Linked DNA regions of Sus scrofa. The protein of the gene in region 4 binds, or shares a complex with, the protein of the main gene of each other region. Links are inferred from orthologs where the notes say so. Each region holds a gene or a part of one and is shown on either strand. Other genes may lie near its edges.

The links. Proteins that work in one complex are often made in the same cells at the same time.
Region 1: the proteins of GNAO1 (region 4) and HRH3 are in contact, whole or in part, in a cryo-EM structure (PDB 8YN7), measured with the Homo sapiens proteins. The link is inferred for Sus scrofa from reciprocal best matches to the Homo sapiens genes GNAO1 and HRH3. Residues at the interface, in NP_066268.1 of Homo sapiens: Ile28, Ala31, Lys32, Asp33, Val34, Lys193, Asn194, Leu195, Asn312, Pro315, Asn316, Lys317, Glu318, Ile319, Tyr320, Phe336, Thr340, Asp341, Ile343, Ile344, Ala345, Asn347, Leu348, Arg349, Gly350, Cys351, Gly352, Leu353, Tyr354; in NP_009163.2 of Homo sapiens: Asn69, Asp131, Arg132, Ser135, Val136, Ala139, Val140, Tyr142, Arg143, Ala144, Gly147, Ile221, Ile225, Arg228, Arg232, Thr345, Phe348, Arg349, Arg352, Val356, Leu360, Cys415, His416, His417.
Region 2: the proteins of GNAO1 (region 4) and CHRM2 are in contact, whole or in part, in a cryo-EM structure (PDB 7T8X), measured with the Homo sapiens proteins. The link is inferred for Sus scrofa from reciprocal best matches to the Homo sapiens genes GNAO1 and CHRM2. Residues at the interface, in NP_066268.1 of Homo sapiens: Lys24, Ile28, Ala31, Lys32, Leu195, Tyr320, Asp337, Ala338, Thr340, Asp341, Ile343, Ala345, Asn347, Leu348, Gly350, Cys351, Gly352, Leu353, Tyr354; in NP_000730.1 of Homo sapiens: Asn58, Arg121, Cys124, Val125, Pro128, Leu129, Thr130, Pro132, Val133, Lys134, Thr136, Ile209, Ser213, Lys214, Ser215, Arg216, Ile217, Arg381, Lys384, Val385, Thr388, Ile389, Cys443.
Region 3: the proteins of GNAO1 (region 4) and C5AR1 are in contact, whole or in part, in a cryo-EM structure (PDB 8JZP), measured with the Homo sapiens proteins. The link is inferred for Sus scrofa from reciprocal best matches to the Homo sapiens genes GNAO1 and C5AR1. Residues at the interface, in NP_066268.1 of Homo sapiens: Ala31, Lys32, Lys193, Asn194, Leu195, Glu318, Tyr320, Phe336, Thr340, Asp341, Ile343, Ile344, Ala345, Asn347, Leu348, Arg349, Gly350, Cys351, Gly352, Leu353, Tyr354; in NP_001727.2 of Homo sapiens: Asn71, Phe75, Arg134, Leu137, Val138, Pro141, Ile142, Gln145, Ile225, Thr229, Arg233, Ala234, Thr235, Arg236, Ser237, Lys239, Thr240, Val243, Val244, Ala303, Gln305, Phe307.
Region 5: the proteins of GNAO1 (region 4) and P2RY2 are in contact, whole or in part, in a cryo-EM structure (PDB 9K20), measured with the Homo sapiens proteins. The link is inferred for Sus scrofa from reciprocal best matches to the Homo sapiens genes GNAO1 and P2RY2. Residues at the interface, in NP_066268.1 of Homo sapiens: Ala31, Lys32, Asp33, Val34, Leu195, Gln305, Glu309, Glu318, Ile319, Tyr320, Cys321, His322, Met323, Val334, Phe336, Thr340, Asp341, Ile343, Ile344, Asn347, Leu348, Gly350, Cys351, Gly352, Leu353, Tyr354; in NP_002555.4 of Homo sapiens: Asn66, Ser68, His130, Arg131, Gly134, Val135, Pro138, Leu139, Leu142, Arg143, Met221, Arg224, Leu225, Ala229, Tyr230, Gly231, Thr232, Ser233, Pro237, Ala239, Lys240, Lys242, Ser243, Arg245, Thr246, Leu308.

What each region holds. Positions count from the first base shown.
Region 1 is NC_010459.5:61,622,365-61,624,478, reverse strand, and holds the end of HRH3 (histamine H3 receptor), read left to right. Parts: coding exon 1-540; 3' UTR 541-1,614; downstream 1,615-2,114. UniProt on the Homo sapiens protein: The H3 subclass of histamine receptors could mediate the histamine signals in CNS and peripheral nervous system. Signals through the inhibition of adenylate cyclase and displays high constitutive activity (spontaneous activity in the absence of agonist).
Region 2 is NC_010460.4:12,457,315-12,460,814, forward strand, and holds part of CHRM2 (muscarinic acetylcholine receptor M2), read right to left. Parts: intron 3,464-3,500; 5' UTR 3,417-3,463; coding exon 2,016-3,416; 3' UTR 1-2,015. UniProt on the Homo sapiens protein: The muscarinic acetylcholine receptor mediates various cellular responses, including inhibition of adenylate cyclase, breakdown of phosphoinositides and modulation of potassium channels through the action of G proteins.
Region 3 is NC_010448.4:53,107,162-53,109,612, forward strand, and holds part of C5AR1 (C5a anaphylatoxin chemotactic receptor 1), read left to right. Parts: intron 1-1,930; coding exon 1,931-2,451.
Region 4 is NC_010448.4:29,428,875-29,432,374, reverse strand, and holds part of GNAO1 (guanine nucleotide-binding protein G(o) subunit alpha), read left to right. Parts: intron 1-998; coding exon 999-1,152; intron 1,153-3,285; coding exon 3,286-3,473; 3' UTR 3,474-3,500. UniProt on the Homo sapiens protein: Guanine nucleotide-binding proteins (G proteins) function as transducers downstream of G protein-coupled receptors (GPCRs) in numerous signaling cascades.
Region 5 is NC_010451.4:7,691,110-7,694,860, reverse strand, and holds the end of P2RY2 (P2Y purinoceptor 2), read right to left. Parts: intron 1,847-3,751; 5' UTR 1,843-1,846; coding exon 721-1,842; 3' UTR 501-720; downstream 1-500. UniProt on the Homo sapiens protein: Receptor for ATP and UTP coupled to G-proteins that activate a phosphatidylinositol-calcium second messenger system. The affinity range is UTP = ATP > ATP-gamma-S >> 2-methylthio-ATP = ADP.

The DNA of each region.
Region 1 (2,114 bases), on a different chromosome or scaffold from region 4:
GCTGTGCCGCTGCACAGGTGTGGGGTCGGGGTCGGCGAGGGGGCCCCGGGCACCGAGGCCAGGGAGGCGGCCCTCGGCGGCGGCAGCGGAGGGGGTGCCGCGGCCTCGCCCACCTCCAGCTCCGGCAGCTCCTCGAGGGGCACGGAGCGGCCGCGCTCGCTGAAGAGGGGCTCCAAGCCGTCCGCGTCCTCGGCGTCCCTGGAGAAGCGCATGAAGATGGTGTCGCAGAGCGTCACCCAGCGCTTCCGGCTCTCGCGGGACAAGAAGGTGGCCAAGTCGCTGGCGGTCATCGTGAGCATCTTCGGGCTCTGCTGGGCCCCCTACACACTCCTGATGATCATCCGGGCGGCCTGCCACGGCCGCTGCGTCCCCGACTACTGGTACGAGACGTCCTTCTGGCTGCTGTGGGCCAACTCGGCCGTCAACCCCGTCCTCTACCCGCTGTGCCACTACAGCTTCCGCCGAGCCTTCGCCAAGCTGCTCTGCCCCCAGAAGCTCAAGCTCCAGCCCCACAGCTCCCTGGAGCACTGCTGGAAGTGAGCCGGCCTCCCTGGGCACCTGGGCTGTGGGGGGACAGGCCCTCCCTTGCCGCCCCCTCCAGGTCCTGGCTTCCCAAGCAGCCGGGCCTCGCCCCCCGCCCCCTGGCCGCCCCCAGGGCTGAGCCATGCCTTGTCTCCGGCCCACCCTCAAGGCCATGGCAGCCTCTCTCATCCCTTCCGCTGGCAGTTGAGGCAGCCCGGTGGGCCGTCTGGAAGGGCCCTCGCTGCCCGAACCAGGATGTGGCTGCCCCCGTCCTGCTCTGCCCCAGAGGGCCAACCCAGGGGTCCCAGGCACTCTGTCCACCCCCCACGGACAGTGCGATGGCCAGTGGTGTCCACCCTTCGCAGTTACTGCTTGGTGATCTTCCCAGAGCAAGCGTTTGGCGTGTGCTCCAAGCCTCCAGAGCTGGTGCCCTGGCCCCGCACGTGCACACCCCCGCACACCCGCCTCGTCCCAGACGAGCCCCGGACGCTAGCTTCGCTGCTGTCTCCTGCTTAAGTCCGGGGCCAGGCCCCTTCATCCCTCTTTCTGCCAACTTTCTGTGACCCAAAGTGCCAGATGCCCACCAAGGAGCCTCTGGCACGTCTCGCTTCTCCATCCTGGGAGTTTCAGGGAAGACGGAGAAGGAGAAAACGCGTCCGTGAACTTGATGTTCCTTGGATGTTTAATCAAGAGAGAGAAAATTGCTGAGGAGCTCAGGGCTGGACTGGCAGGTGTGGGCTCCCACGCCCTCCTTCCTCGTGCTGCTGCTTCCGGCCGAGCAGTGCCAGCTGTCTCTGCCCACCCCGCCCCCAGCTCCGGGTGCGGGGCCGGACTGGAGGCTCTGAGAGCGGCTGGAGCCTGGCCGCCTGGTCGTCGGGAAGGCTGCCCCTCCCGCCCCATCTGCTGTCAGAGTCCCCTGGGGCTGTCAGGGGAGGGGACAGGGGCCGGGGTCCAGCAGAGGGGTTGCTTCACCATATCCCACACACCCAGTGGGCGCCCTGCATGCCCAGCTCCCATACCTGCTGTGCTGCCCTGCAGACCCCAGAGTCCACAGTAAAGTGTATTTTTTTATTGGTGCTGATTCCCGAGGACTTCGTGGGGGTGGCCAAGCCCCCGTACCTCAGTCAGGGACCTGGGGAGGGGAACCTGTGGTGGGGGGCAGAGGCGGGGGCAGTGGTTAACAGGTTTAGTCCTAACTAGAGATGCGTGCCTGGCAGTGCCCCCCCCTGGGGGGAACCCCTTTGGTAGCGTGGCATGGCATTGTGCAGGACTCACTCTAGGCTTGAGAGTATCGGCCCCAGCCCCCACCCCCAGGACAGCTGTGATTCCCCCCGCCACCTCCCCCCCCGCCTCCAGGGGCGTGGGGCCTGAAGCTGAGCTGGGGGGAAGGGCCAAGGAGCTTCCTGCACCGAGGCCGGGGCCAGGGGGCTGGGGCCCGGGAGGAGGACCTGATAAGGACAGTGCCGGTGGGCACGGAACCCTTGGGCTCCGCGGGGTGGGGGGCAGACACCGGCCCTCCCCCAGGTGCCCAGAGTCAACTCAGAAAGGGGGCAAGTCCAGCCCAACTTAGGGGGGTTACGAACTTGGGTGGA
Region 2 (3,500 bases), on a different chromosome or scaffold from region 4:
TGGTTGGGGGGAATGACCGAAGTTATTGAAACGAGAGGTTATTTTTACAAAGGATGTGTTATTTACAAATGTTGGTGATTTGCTTCTTGCTAATTGTCTTTTTTATTGTTATTTACCTTGTGCTTTTTGTTTCAGCTCTCAAAATTTTTGAGATGCCATCTGAGAGGCAAGTCACATAAAAGAACTCTAATTAAAGCACTAAAGCCTAATACTGACAAGTTCATCATGCACCTCACATGGATATTAATGGTCAAGATATCCTAAAGCCCATACATCTAAAATGCAACATATGAACTTCAAAAAGGTTTTAATAAATTTGATTGCTACTGATTGGGCCGTGTTTTAAAAACTTATTGGAAGACTATAGCAAATACAGTAAGAAAAAAAGTCAAGGAGTAAAAATAACTAAATATGAATCAATATAATCATATATTTATTGGCCAATAAAAAGTCTCTATATAGACAAGAGTCTATGTAAAGCCACCACTGGGTAATCATTCCTGTTATGATTTTCTAAGGTCTATAACTAAAGGAACAGTGGGAAGTGCCACTACCTTCTTTTACCTACCTTCTTTCATATTCTGCTGAGCTCACTCGGCCTGTTTGATATCCATGACACTTCTGCCATCAAGATTACTATACTTCTCATTGACAGAATTTTGGAGTTAAAAAATTTTAGGGAGAATTGACAGTTTGAGGAACACAAAACATGTGGTTTCAGGAAAGTTTTTTGAATTACTCTCCTTTTTTTCCTCCACAGGTTACAGAATGGTTATAAATCTCATTGGACTCTAAACTGGATATCATCCTTTAGTAAGCATTCTCTTGGGACTGGCCCAAAAGTCATTGGTGCCACATGACTATGTTTAATCCTATTTAAGATTCCAGATGAATAAAGCAACATCTTCTTCCTGCTGACAAAGACCAGGAGTTCATGTTTTACAAGTTAACATTTTATACATGGGTCAGGCAGATTCAGGTGGAAACATGATGCCCTTTCCACCTTCTATTTTCTTATCTCAGAATTCATCTGGCTTCAGTAAACTTTCTCCAACAAGAATGACCATTATTTAATTTGATGAAACCTCAATTTAAAAACGACTTTGGTTTTTCAAGCATGTTTCTATATTAGGTAGACTATTATATTCAAATAATAGGCTAGTTTAGTAGAAAACTGGATTGGTGAAAATATTTCCCATGAAGGATCATATGTGAACTAAATCCTCACAGGGCTGCATACCTCCAAAGAAGGCAAAATACACAGTGCGCAGGAGTAAAACACCCTTTTGCATGGCTGTCTCTGGTTGTATTTAGCAGAAGTCCTGCAGATTTTGCCCTTACACAATATACAAAAACCAATGCCATAATGAGAAAAATAATGATGTGATACGAGTTAAGATTTTTGGTTTTGTTTGTTTGCTTTGCTCTCTTTTGATGGTGGGAAAAGGGTATGGCAAAGAAAGATAAACATTTATTAGGTTGCAATTCCCCACAAACCGTAATAAAATTATAATATATATTAACACTCTGGAGTCCATTTCTACACCCTTTTTTGATCTTCTTTCTTCACTTCTTCATTGTATAATGGCTTTCTTTATGTTTAAGTCTCGAGGTTAGGTTGTAATTGTGGCATTTCATCCTCATATGGACACATGGTAACAAAAATGTGAACAAAAAAGAAAAGAGGTTATTATTTTTGTGTGCAGAGATAAAATGATATATTCAGAAGCCCTTCTTCAAGAGAGTATGAGAAACTACAGATCATTCCTTAAATCCACAATTCCAACACGTCTCTTTTATGGTCTCATTGCTCCTAAACTGGCAGGGTTTATAAGGTGCAAGTTTCTCAAATTGGAGCAGAGGCACAATAAGTGTCACTGTAGGGCTCCTTAATTGCACATTCCATTAATAAGACTATAAAGTGCAATGGCAGAGATTTTAAAACTAGGAGCTCTTTCATTCTTTTTCTGTTCCTCAAGCTCCTCTTGACTACCTTCCTTCTTTACAAAGATGTTTTACCTTGTAGCGCCTATGTTCTTATAATGACACATAAGAAGGTGTTTAAAGGTCTTCTTGAAGGTGGCATTACAAAGTGCATAGCAGGCAGGGTTGATAGTGCTGTTGATGTAACAGAGCCAATAACCAATTGTCCACACTGTGTTGGGGATGCAGGGTGCACAGAAGGTATTAATGAGCACCATGACGTTGTACGGGGCCCAAGTGATGATGAAAGCCAACAGAATAGCCAAGATCGTCCTGGTCACTTTCTTTTCCCGGGAAGGAGGCGGCTTCTTTTTTGCAGGCTGCTTGGTCATCTTCACAATCTTGCGAGCGACAATGTTCTGTTTTTCATCTCCATTCTGACCTGAAGAACCAACAAGCTCCACAGTGGTATTAGCTGGGGTGCATGAGTCACTTTTTTGGGTCTTGGTGACAATTTTGATGCATGTTTGCTTTGAGTTCTCATCTTTGGAATGGCCCAGGGAAGTGGAAACTGTGTTTTCATCCTGGGTTATTTCATCATCTCTCATATTAGAGGCAACAGCACTGACTGAGGTGGAATCGTTGGAGCTTTCTTTCTCCTCTCCCTGGACACAGTTCTCAGTCACAGCATCCCTGGGAGCTTTGCCATTCTGGATTTTGTTGTGCTCCAGGGCTTCATCACTGCCAGGCATATTATTGTTGTTCGGCTTCACTATTCTTCCTTGTACCAAACTTGGAGAAACTGGTTCTTGGTTGGCCACAGGCTCCTTCCTGTCCTTCTTAATCCTGCTCTTACTGGCTCGGGATATGTGCCAGTATAATACAGTCATGATGATCACAGGCAAATAGAAGGCTGCAATGGCAGTGCCAAAGGTGACAGCAGCGTTGGAAAAAAACTGTATATAGCATTCACCATCCTCCACAGTTCTCACCCCTACAATGAACTGCCAGAAGAGAATGGCCGGAGCCCAGAGGATGAAGGAGAGGACCCACGCAGCAGCAATCATCATACCTGCCATTTTTGTGGTCCGCTTGACGGGGTAGGTGAGCGGCTTCGTGACACAGAAGTACCTGTCAAAGCTGATGATGAGCAGATTCATTACTGAGGCATTACTGACCACGTAGTCCAGAGCTAGCCAAAGGTCACACACCACGGGGCCCAAAGGCCAGTAGCCAATCACAGTGTAAAGAGTGTACAGGTTCATGGAGAAAACACCAATGATGAGGTCAGCACAGGCCAAGCTGAACAAAAAGTAATTGTTGACTGTCTGGAGGTGTCGGTTGACTTTGATGGAGACCATGACCAGGATGTTCCCAATAATGGTCACCAAACTGAGGGATCCGGCGACAAGGACAATAAAAACCACTTCAAATGTCTTATAAGGACTGGTCAGAGCCAGGCCACTGTTAGAGGAGTTGGTGGAGTTATTCATTTTGTGTTCTCTACTCAGTAGCCAAGTAGCCAAATACACATTTAAACCTGCAGGGAAATAAAATAAAATTAACAAATATATAAT
Region 3 (2,451 bases), about 24 Mb from region 4:
GACCCTTTGTCTTGCAGAGTGATTGGGCTAATTTCATCCCTGTGATGTTATTTCTCTCTCTCTCTCTTTTTTTTTTTTTTTTTGTGTGTATGTCTTTTTTAGGGCCACACCCGCGGCATATGGAGGTTTCCAGGCTAGGGGTCGAATCGGAGCTGTCAGTGCTGGCTGACGCCACAGCCACAGCCACGCCAGATCCGAGCTGCCTCTGCAACCAACACCACAGCTCCCGGCAACACTAGATCCTTCACCCAGGGAGTGAGGCCAGGGATCAAACCTGTGTCCTCATGGATACTAGTCGGATTCTTAACCCGCTAAGCCACAATGGGAACTCCCATTTATTCTTTGTCTTGCTGCCCCCAAGTATTTTCTCTCTGTTCTGAGACTGAGGTTTTGGAATGATGATAGGCGAAACGAGGGACTGCCAGGAGTTAAGCGAGGAAGAGAGAGCAGCATAAAAACCAGTGGTGGCACTTGGAGAGGGCCAGGTAGGCTGCTAGGACGAGGGTCTGGATCTGTGTCCTAGCGCTGTGCTGAGTCGTCCTGGGACACGGGGCAGGGCACCTGTGCGCTCCTATCTCAGGATTAACAGTGTTTCCTGAGCCCAGTAGAAAAAGGAAATAAAGCTTTCCCAACCTCCTTCCCAAAACAACTTCCCCCCAAACGCCAACAGCATGATACAGATAAAGCCCCACTAGGTCTGCTTGCCATTGTCAACCTACAAAGACCCTTCGGGTCCTTCAAACTGTGGGCCAATCAGAAGGCTCCCCTTGCACAATAGTAATTTATTTGCAGTTCAGCTTTTTGGGAGGTCCCATTGTGGCTCAGCTGTAACAAATCAATCCCGGGCCTCGCTCAGTGGGGTGAGCATCCGGGGTGGTCAAGAGCTGCGGTGTAGTCAAAGAGGCAGCTCGGGTCCCGAGTTGCTGTGGCTGTGATGTAGGCCAGCAGCTGTGGCTCTGATTCCACCCCTAGCCTGGGCACTTACTCAACCCCTAGCCATATGTCGTGGGTGTGGCCCTAAAAAGGCAAAAAAAATTTTTTTTAATTTGATTTTTTTTCTACTGTAATTTTTTTGGGGGGGCATCAATTTTGATTCTTTAAAATATTGCATTAGGATTTTTTTTTTTTTTTTTGGCTTTTTAGGGCCGCACCTACGGCATGTGGAGGTTCCCGGGCTAGGGGTTGAATTGGAGCTGCAGGTGCTGGCCTATGCCACAGCCACAGCAAGGCCAGATCCAAGCCATGTCTGGGACCTACACCACAGCTCACAGCAACACCAGATCCTTAACCCTCTGAGCAAGGCCACAACCTCATGGTTCCTGGTCGGATTCGTTTCTGCTGCACTATGACGGGAGCTCTTGGATATTATGTGTCTTCGAGGCTGGTTTTCCCTCTTGACCCCTTAAATGCTGTCCTGGTACAGGAGGCCTGCTGCCTTGTCTGGGTGGCTGCCCCCAGGCAGAGCGCAGAGCCGCCTCGGTGGGTGGGATGCAGCCAAACCAGGTCACGTTGCTGGTGGTGATGGTGACGAGGGGTGCTGGGCTGACTACCTCCCGAGTCGTATCATTGCAGTCTGTTGGAGGCATTAAAGGTACCTCCCAAGCAGGGTCCCCGGTACTGACCAGTCAGAGCGGATCACAACCACAGTCTTGCTGTAGGTCTAGGTTTTACCCATTTGTTTGCTGGTTCCTGGGGAAGTCCAGGGATTGGGGTGGGGGGCTGGGAGACAAAGTAGCTTGGAAGGGCTTTCAATATTTTAATAAGTGTTAATGACACCCCAGCGGGCTCTCAGCCCTCGGCATCCCCATTTTCCCAGGAGAAGCCTAACCAAGGATGTGGAGCGCTGGGCTCAAAGCCACGTACCTCTGAGGGTCCCCCACCACCTGTCTGCAGACTCACTCTCCCTGCTTCTCTGGTCCCCCCCCCGCAGGACCCCATGGTTGATAACACCACTGATTACTACAATTATGGCTGGACCCTGCTCCCTGGCCAACCGGTGGATGCCTCTTCCAGAACCCTCAAGCTGCACGCTCCCGACGTGATTGCCCTGGTGATCTTTGTCATTGTCTTCCTGGTGGGAGTGCCGGGCAATGCCCTGGTGGTCTGGGTGACGGGATCCGAGGCCAAGCGGACCATCAACGCCATCTGGTTTCTCAACCTGGCGGTGGCTGACCTCCTCTCCTGCCTGGCGCTGCCCATCTTGTTTGCATCCATCTTGCAGCACAACCACTGGTCCTTCGGGGACGCCGCCTGCCGAATCCTGCCCTCGCTCATCCTGCTCAACATGTACGCCAGCATCTTGCTCCTGGCTACCATCAGCGCCGACCGCTTCCTGCTGGTGTTTAACCCCGTTTGGTGCCAGAACTTCCGAAGGGCCCACCTGGCCTGGATGGCCTGTGGCATGGCCTGGGGCCTGGCTCTGCTGCTGACCATACCTTCCTTCCTGTTCCG
Region 4 (3,500 bases):
AAAACCGTCAACTAAGAGTTGAAAGCAGCAGATTCCCAGGGCACCGCCGGGTGACATTGCTGTGATGCCTGCTCCCCACTCCCACGTCCCACACTCCTCACCAGCCGCTCGGCTTAGGCTGGTCTTGCCCACCATCCCCTTCCAGCTCCAGCCACGCAGGCCACAGCCCCAGGGTGGCCACTGCCTCTGTGAGGCCACACGGGGCCTCCAGAGGGGCCGGCTTTGACTTCCTGGCCCGAGACTGGTTGAACCCATTTGGGTTTTTTTTTCCCTCTCTCTTTCCTTCATGTTTTCTGCTGGGTTTTTATCTTCCTCTCTGTTTTAATCTCTCTTGCTGGCTTTCATCTTGGGGTTCATCCAGCCCCTCTGCTGAGAAACCAGCCCCAATAATCAGCTCACTCAGAACGCCCCCCCACCGCCCCGGCCCAATCACAACCCAGCTAAACCCACCCAGTCCCCAATCACACCAAGGCCACAGCAAGATCACACCCCCGACGCTGTCCTCCTGGTGTCTGCTTCCAACTCTGGATTAATTCGAGGATCTCTTAGTCCTCGGTTAATGTCTCCCAACTGAATGCGTGCACCCTCCCACCTCTGCTGGCGAAACCAAATGAGACCCCAGTAGAAAAATCTGCATGCCCGCGGTCCCATGTGGACATGTGGATGGTGGTGCGGCCCCTTCCCCTGCGTGCATGGTGCATGTCCTCTCCGTGGGCTGGAGTCCCTCCAAGTGACCTCGCTGCCCCTTCCCGGGTCAGCCTTTTTCAGGGGAAGGGCAGCGTTCCCCACCCTGCCGCCCTGCTCCACCCCACCTGCCTGCGTGTGGAATGCAGCAGGGACCACATCCTCGTCCTGTGGGTCCTCCCATCTCCATCCCTGGTGGTGCGTTCAGCCGCATTAGTGGACCTTCCCTTTGCTTGTCCTGCTGTGTTACTGGCCGCGGTGGGTCAGGGCCCCAGGTACTACCAGCCCTCACTGGACTCTCCACTCTATTGCAGAACCGCATGCATGAATCCCTGAAGCTTTTCGACAGCATCTGTAACAACAAATGGTTCACGGACACGTCCATCATCCTGTTTCTTAACAAGAAGGACATATTCGAAGAGAAGATCAAGAAGTCCCCGCTAACCATCTGCTTTCCTGAGTACACAGGTAGAGACTGCCACGCCCCTCAGGGGCCACACAGCCACTCTGGCCACACCAGTTCCTGAGGGAGCTCAGTCCCCCTTACCATACCCTGCGGATGCACCAGGTTCTCTCATGGAGAAGCCAACATAAAACCAAAGGCGGGCCCCTCCCTTCCCCATCATGTCCTGTATGTAGTGCGGGCCCGGGGCAGCCAGCTGGGGCTTCCTAGTCAGGGGAGGCAGGGCTGGGATCCTGATCTCTGCAACCTCTTGGACCTAGGTCACCTGTAGATAGAGATTATCAGTCAAGTGGCAACACCAAGATGGTAATGGGGGTTAAGATCAGGGGCTTCGAGTCAGGCATCCCCAGGCTCATGTCCCCACTCTGCCACTCACAGCAGGTCATGTAACTTCTCGGAGCGTCAGTTTTCACATCTGTGAGATGAGGATAATCACTGTGATTATCCAGCCCTCCCTCCCAGAGCTGCCAGGAGGACAAAGTGAGCTCAAGAACCTAGAGAGCTTAGCATGGCAGCTGGTGCTTAGTAAGTGCTCACTAAACATTTGCTGTTACTCTTATAACTGGGATTATAACTCAAAAATATCATGACAGCACCTCCCACACGGGTAGTTATAGGATTCAAATGGCCTGTTGGATGTGAGAGAGCTTCACAAGCAGGAGCGACCAGGGCCGTCTGCGGAGGGTTCTGAGGATGCTGAAGGCCACCTCTGTTAACATTGCCGCGGGTTTACCTGACGGTGGGTGGGTGATGGAGGCAGCCTGACCAGGGCCCCCAGCAGGCAGCAGGGTGGCTAGAATAGCCCAGGTACCTGCTGGCTCTTTAGGATGGCCAGCGCCTGGTCAGAGAGGTGAGTGGAGGCAGAAGTGGGCCTCCTCAGCCCAAGCAGCACCCCCGGCCTAGAGAGCACAAAGGCAGAGTCCCAGCAAGGTGGGCCTGCTGGGGGTGACTCCAGACTGAGCCCCAGTTCCCCCAGAGTGGACATGGGGCTACACTTGAAGCCAGACGAGTGTCCCCCTTCCTCTAGAAGAGGATGACTGCCCAGAGGCCAGGACCCCAAGCAGCATGCAGCCAGAGGTGGGCCGGGCTCAACCTCCCCCACACTCACCAGTCAGCCTCCTTTTAGGTGTACATAAAGTGTGGGTCTGTGGGTCCTGCTGTAGGTGACCTGGGGTGTAGCCCATGGGGCAGCAGAAGCAGCGTGAGGCAGTTTGCCAAGGCTGATGTGCTCCCAAGGACACACTCCCTCATCTCCAGCTCACATTTAGGAAAGAGCTGTGGCCTGGTAGACCCTCAAGGCCAGGCCTGCTGGCCTGCACCCCTGTGTCGAGGAGCTGCAGCCATGCTCATCCTGGGCCTCCAGTTTGCACAGGAGTCACCCCAGCTTAGTGCCATAGCTGTGAAGTTCAGCTCCCCTCTTCCTCCCTCAGTGTGTTGTGGCAGCTGGGCCTGGGCCCGTGCCTAGACTCCTGAAGCCCAGGGAAGCCTCAGGGCACAGCCAGGAGTCCCGTTCTGTTCCTTCCCAAACTGCCTCTGCCTGGCCTTACCCGGGACAGAGCAATATGGCAGCAAGGAAGGCAGCAAGTCAGCAGCCAGACAGTTCCTAAACCCTGGGTGGTGAATAGGAGAACAGGAGGGCTGGAGGTGAGGTGGAGGAGGAGGGCAGGGGGTTGAGAGGGAGGAGGCCAGGGCGGCTCACAGGTGCCACACAGTTTCCATACACCTTGCCCAGCAGTGGCCAAGGGAGGTGGCATCTCTGCCTGCCCTGCAGGGCATGCGTCAGCCAGGGGCTGGCACAGACATCTTTGGGCAGGACCCACAGGAAGAGAGAACACTTGTATCAGGAGCCCTTAGATGCACTGTAAAAGGAAACAGGAGTCCTGACGCTGCTGAGGCCTAGTGAGGTGAGGTTTGCTTTCTCGTTCCCTTCATTGCTTTTAAAGTGGATGTGGTCCACTGACCTATTTCCTGACCCATGACTGATGGAGCTGAGCTGTCGAGTGTTTGGCACCCCATTAGTTTTCTCCCGAAAGGCTGTCCCTGAGAGGCCCCCAGTGTCTGCTCCCCAGCCCGTGGCCTGACCAGTCCCCCAGCGGGGGCCTCACCTCACCAGCTCCCAAACTTGGTCTCTCCCGCAGGCCCCAGCACCTTCACGGAGGCCGTGGCGTATATCCAGGCCCAGTACGAGAGCAGGAACAAGTCTGCCCACAAGGAGGTCTACACCCACGTCACTTGTGCCACCGACACCAACAACATCCAGTTTGTCTTTGACGCGGTGACGGACGTCATCATCGCCAAAAACCTTCGGGGCTGTGGCCTCTACTGAGCCCTGGCCTCACCGCCCAGCCGCCCG
Region 5 (3,751 bases), on a different chromosome or scaffold from region 4:
GAGGTGGCTCATGGGAAGGCAAATGGCAGAGGAGAAGAGGTTGGAGGAAGGACCCAGTGTGGATGGCAGAGCTTCGCAGGCTGTACCCCCACCCTCCAACCACACAGCAGCGCCCAGCTCGGCAGATAATAACGCCTCTGGTAGGAGTCCCAGCCCCAAACCGCTCCAGCCTCCAGATGGGTCTATGGCACCTGTTCTCAGATGCTCTTCCCCTGGGCCGGGGAACATCCTCAGAGCTGAGCCCACGGTGGCACCCAGAGACCACCCTGACCCACCGTGGAACCTCTGGCTCAGCCCTGACTCCTTACAGGGGTCCTTGGCTCAACCTGCACCCGCCCCTCCCCCGTAGCACAGGGCCAGGCTCAGCTGTGTGATCTCCGTAAGTCACTGGCCTCTCTGGACCCATCTTTCCACTGGACTCAATCTGTCCGGCCTCCAGCCTGGGTACCGTGGCAGGCCCAGCCACGCATCTGCCTGCCTTTCTTAAAACCTCATCCCCCAACTCACACATACCAACGGTGAGGGGTGTGGGGACTGCGGGGCTCCCTGGACCACGGAGGACAGACGGGGCCCCGGCCAAGGGACAGAGCATGGGGGTCCCGGCTCTCCCGACCATCTGGCCTGAGTCGCTGATGGGCCAAACCGAGGGAGACTGTCCGGCTTGAACACGTCTGCAGCCCCGCCCCCCACACGCGTGCGCAGGCGCCAGGGGTCCGGGTCCTACAGCCGGATGTCTTCGCCACGCGCCGGTGTGATCTCTGTCCGCCTGGAGTCCTCGCTGCTGGCCGAGTCTTCTGTCCTCTTCGTGTCAGTTCCGTGGGACCTGCGCAGGCCCAGCCTGCGACAGGCCTGGGCGGTGGGGGTGGCGTCTGTGGGTGGCTTGGCGTCCCGGGCAAAGCGCACGAGCCTCTGCCCGGCCAGGAAGTAGAGCACGGGGTCCAGGCAACTGTTGGCACTGGCCAGCGGCCGGGTGATCTTGTATGCCATGTTTATGGCATCGAGGGTGTGGCAGCTGAGGTCCAGCGTGCGGAAGGAGTAGTAGAGGGTGCGGGTGACGTGGAAAGGCAGGAAGCACAGCGCGAAGACGGCCAGCACCACGGCGATGGTGCGCACCGACTTGCGCTTGGCGCGCGGCAGGCCTCCGGCGGTGCCGTACGCGGGGCGCAGCAGCCGGCGGGCCATGAGCGCGTAGCAGACCAGGATGACGGCGAAGGGCGCCGCGAAGAGCACGCTCAGCATGACCAAGCTGTAGGCCACGAAGTGGCTGAAGAGCTCGGGGGCCGACGTGTCGTGGCAGGTGATGCGGCCGCCCTGGGCAGTGGTGGTGATGAAGTAGAGCGCGGGCGCCTGGCAGGCCAGCACCAGACCCCACACGGCCGCCGCCACCCGGCGCGCGTAGCGGGCGTGGCCCCAGCGCAGCGAGCGCAGCGGCCGCAGGACGCCCAGGCAGCGGTGCACGCTGATGCACGTGAGGAACAGGATGCTGCAGTACAGGTTGGTGTAGAAGAGGAAGCGCACCAGCTTGCAGAGCGCCGTGCTGAAGGGCCAGTGGTCGCCGCGCGCGTAGTAATAGACCAGCAGGGGCAGGGAGGCGGCGTACAGCGCGTCGGACACGGCCAGGTGGAACATGTACGTGGTGGAGGCGTTCCAGGTCTTGAGGCGGCACAGGAAGATGTAGAGCGCCCCGGCGTTCAGACTCAGCCCCAGCACGCACACCACGCCGTAGCTCAGGGGCAGCAGCACGTACTTGAAGTCCTCGTGGAAGCGGCACCTGTAGCCCCAGTCATCCCCATCCGAGGTGCCGTTGACGGTGCCATTCCAGAGGTCGGGGCCTGTAGCCATCACCCTGAAGGGAAGGGGCCGTGGGGAGAAGAGGAGTCAGAGTCGTGGCCTGCCACAGCCGCCCGACCGGGTCCCAAGCGCCCAGACCCTCCCTGGGTTAAGATACGCCCGACCAGGCGTTCCCATGGTGGCACAGCCGGTTAAGGACCCGGCGTGGTCTCTGTGGCAGCATGGATTCGACCCTCAGCCTCGTGCAGTGGGTGGAGGATATGGCATTGCTGCAGCTGTGGCGTAGGCTGCAGCTGCAGCTTGGATTCCATCCCTGACCAGGGAACTTCCATACGCTGCAGGTGTGGCTAAAAAAGAAAAAAAAAAAATCTGCCCAACTGTACGCAAGGCCTTTGTTGCATCTGATCTGCCTCCTTCCCTGGAGCCCGAGGGCCCGACCCTCGGAACCTTAAGGATGCATGAGATCCGTGAATGTCAGGATGGTGGGATTCCAACACTTTAGAACAGGGGGGTAGGCCAACTACCTCTCAAGGGCCAGATGCAGCCCAGCAGGCTGTTTTTGTAAATAAAGCTTTATTGGCGCACAGCCATGCCCATCTTTTTACAGAGCTGAAAAGTTGTGGCAAAGACCATATGCTCCTCAAAGACTAAAATACTTAACCATCTGGCCTTGGAAAAAAAAAAAAGAGTTTGGGGTCCCTATTTGAGCAGCTCAGGAACGCAGAGTTCTAGATCTAGGGTTAGAGGACTCCGATTCATGGAAAGGGGCCTTTGAGGCTGAGACTGGGTCCACCCCACAGCCAGGGCCCACGGCCTGTTTCTGGCCAGTGGGCAGCCCATTCGTTCCCAGAGGCATGAGAAAGTTCTTTCCTTTGGCTCATCTTTCCACTCTCTGGGGAGGGCCTGGCCCTGTGCCTGGAATTTGGGTATTTGAGGAGTATTTCCAAGGGTCTCCCACTTTAGTCATTCATTCACCTCTCAGCAAATATTTTTTAGGCACTCTTGTATTCTGGTACTTTCTGCATCTGTAAACAGCGGCCCTGCTCCCTGGCCTGTAAGGCTACGAGATGGGCTAGTGACCCTCCTGGAGATTCCAGGCAAGTCTGGGTGGAGGCGGGAGTGGGGACAGCGGGGGACGCCTGCTGTGGGGCAAATCCAGCTTCTCTTCACACTGTCACCACCTTGATCTTCTCCTTCCTCGTCCCTCGTGGGCGTGTAACACACCCATGGGGCCTGACCGGCCCATCAGTGAGCACCTAGGGATCAGGATGCCACCTGCCCTCTCTGCCAAGGGGACCAATAAGAGCTCTCTCCGCCGGGAGGCTGGGGACAGATATCCCAGCCTGGAGGCAGAGACGGTCCTGGGGGGCTTAGGGGGGCAAGATTGGGACAAACACAAAGAAATACTTCCTAACAGTGTGAAGAGCAGAGGGAGCTGACATTTTTCAACCCCCCCCCACACCGAGTGCCTGATGAAGGTCCCTTCACTCGATCCCTGTAACTCGCTTCCGGGAGCCAGGTCCTTGTGCCCACTTTTCGGATGGCAAGGCCAGATGGATCATTCAGGCAATTTGGCCCAGGTCACGGGCCTGGGGTGGGCAGCCATTCCCATCTGGGTCCATGCCACGGTGGAAGGGGCTGGAAGAGGAGGCAGAGACCCCTGCTTACGGGAGTGGGCAAGCGGCTTTCTAGCACAGCCTGCAGATGGCACTGTGCCTTCCGTCGCTGTGTCTGGGAGGGGAGAGGGCAGATGACGTGGGAGTCCCCCCACCCCGTGAGAATCTGGGGCTGTATCATTCCTTTCATTCTGGAACCTGGGATCCTGTGGAGCCAGCGACATCCACTCCCTTAGACAGCGAGCCTCCTGTCCAGCCTGGGAAGCAGCTCAGGGCCCAGGAAGTCAAGATCGGGGGTGGGGGGGAGGACACATGGGTCCCTCAGGTCATTTCTTTCCCCATAA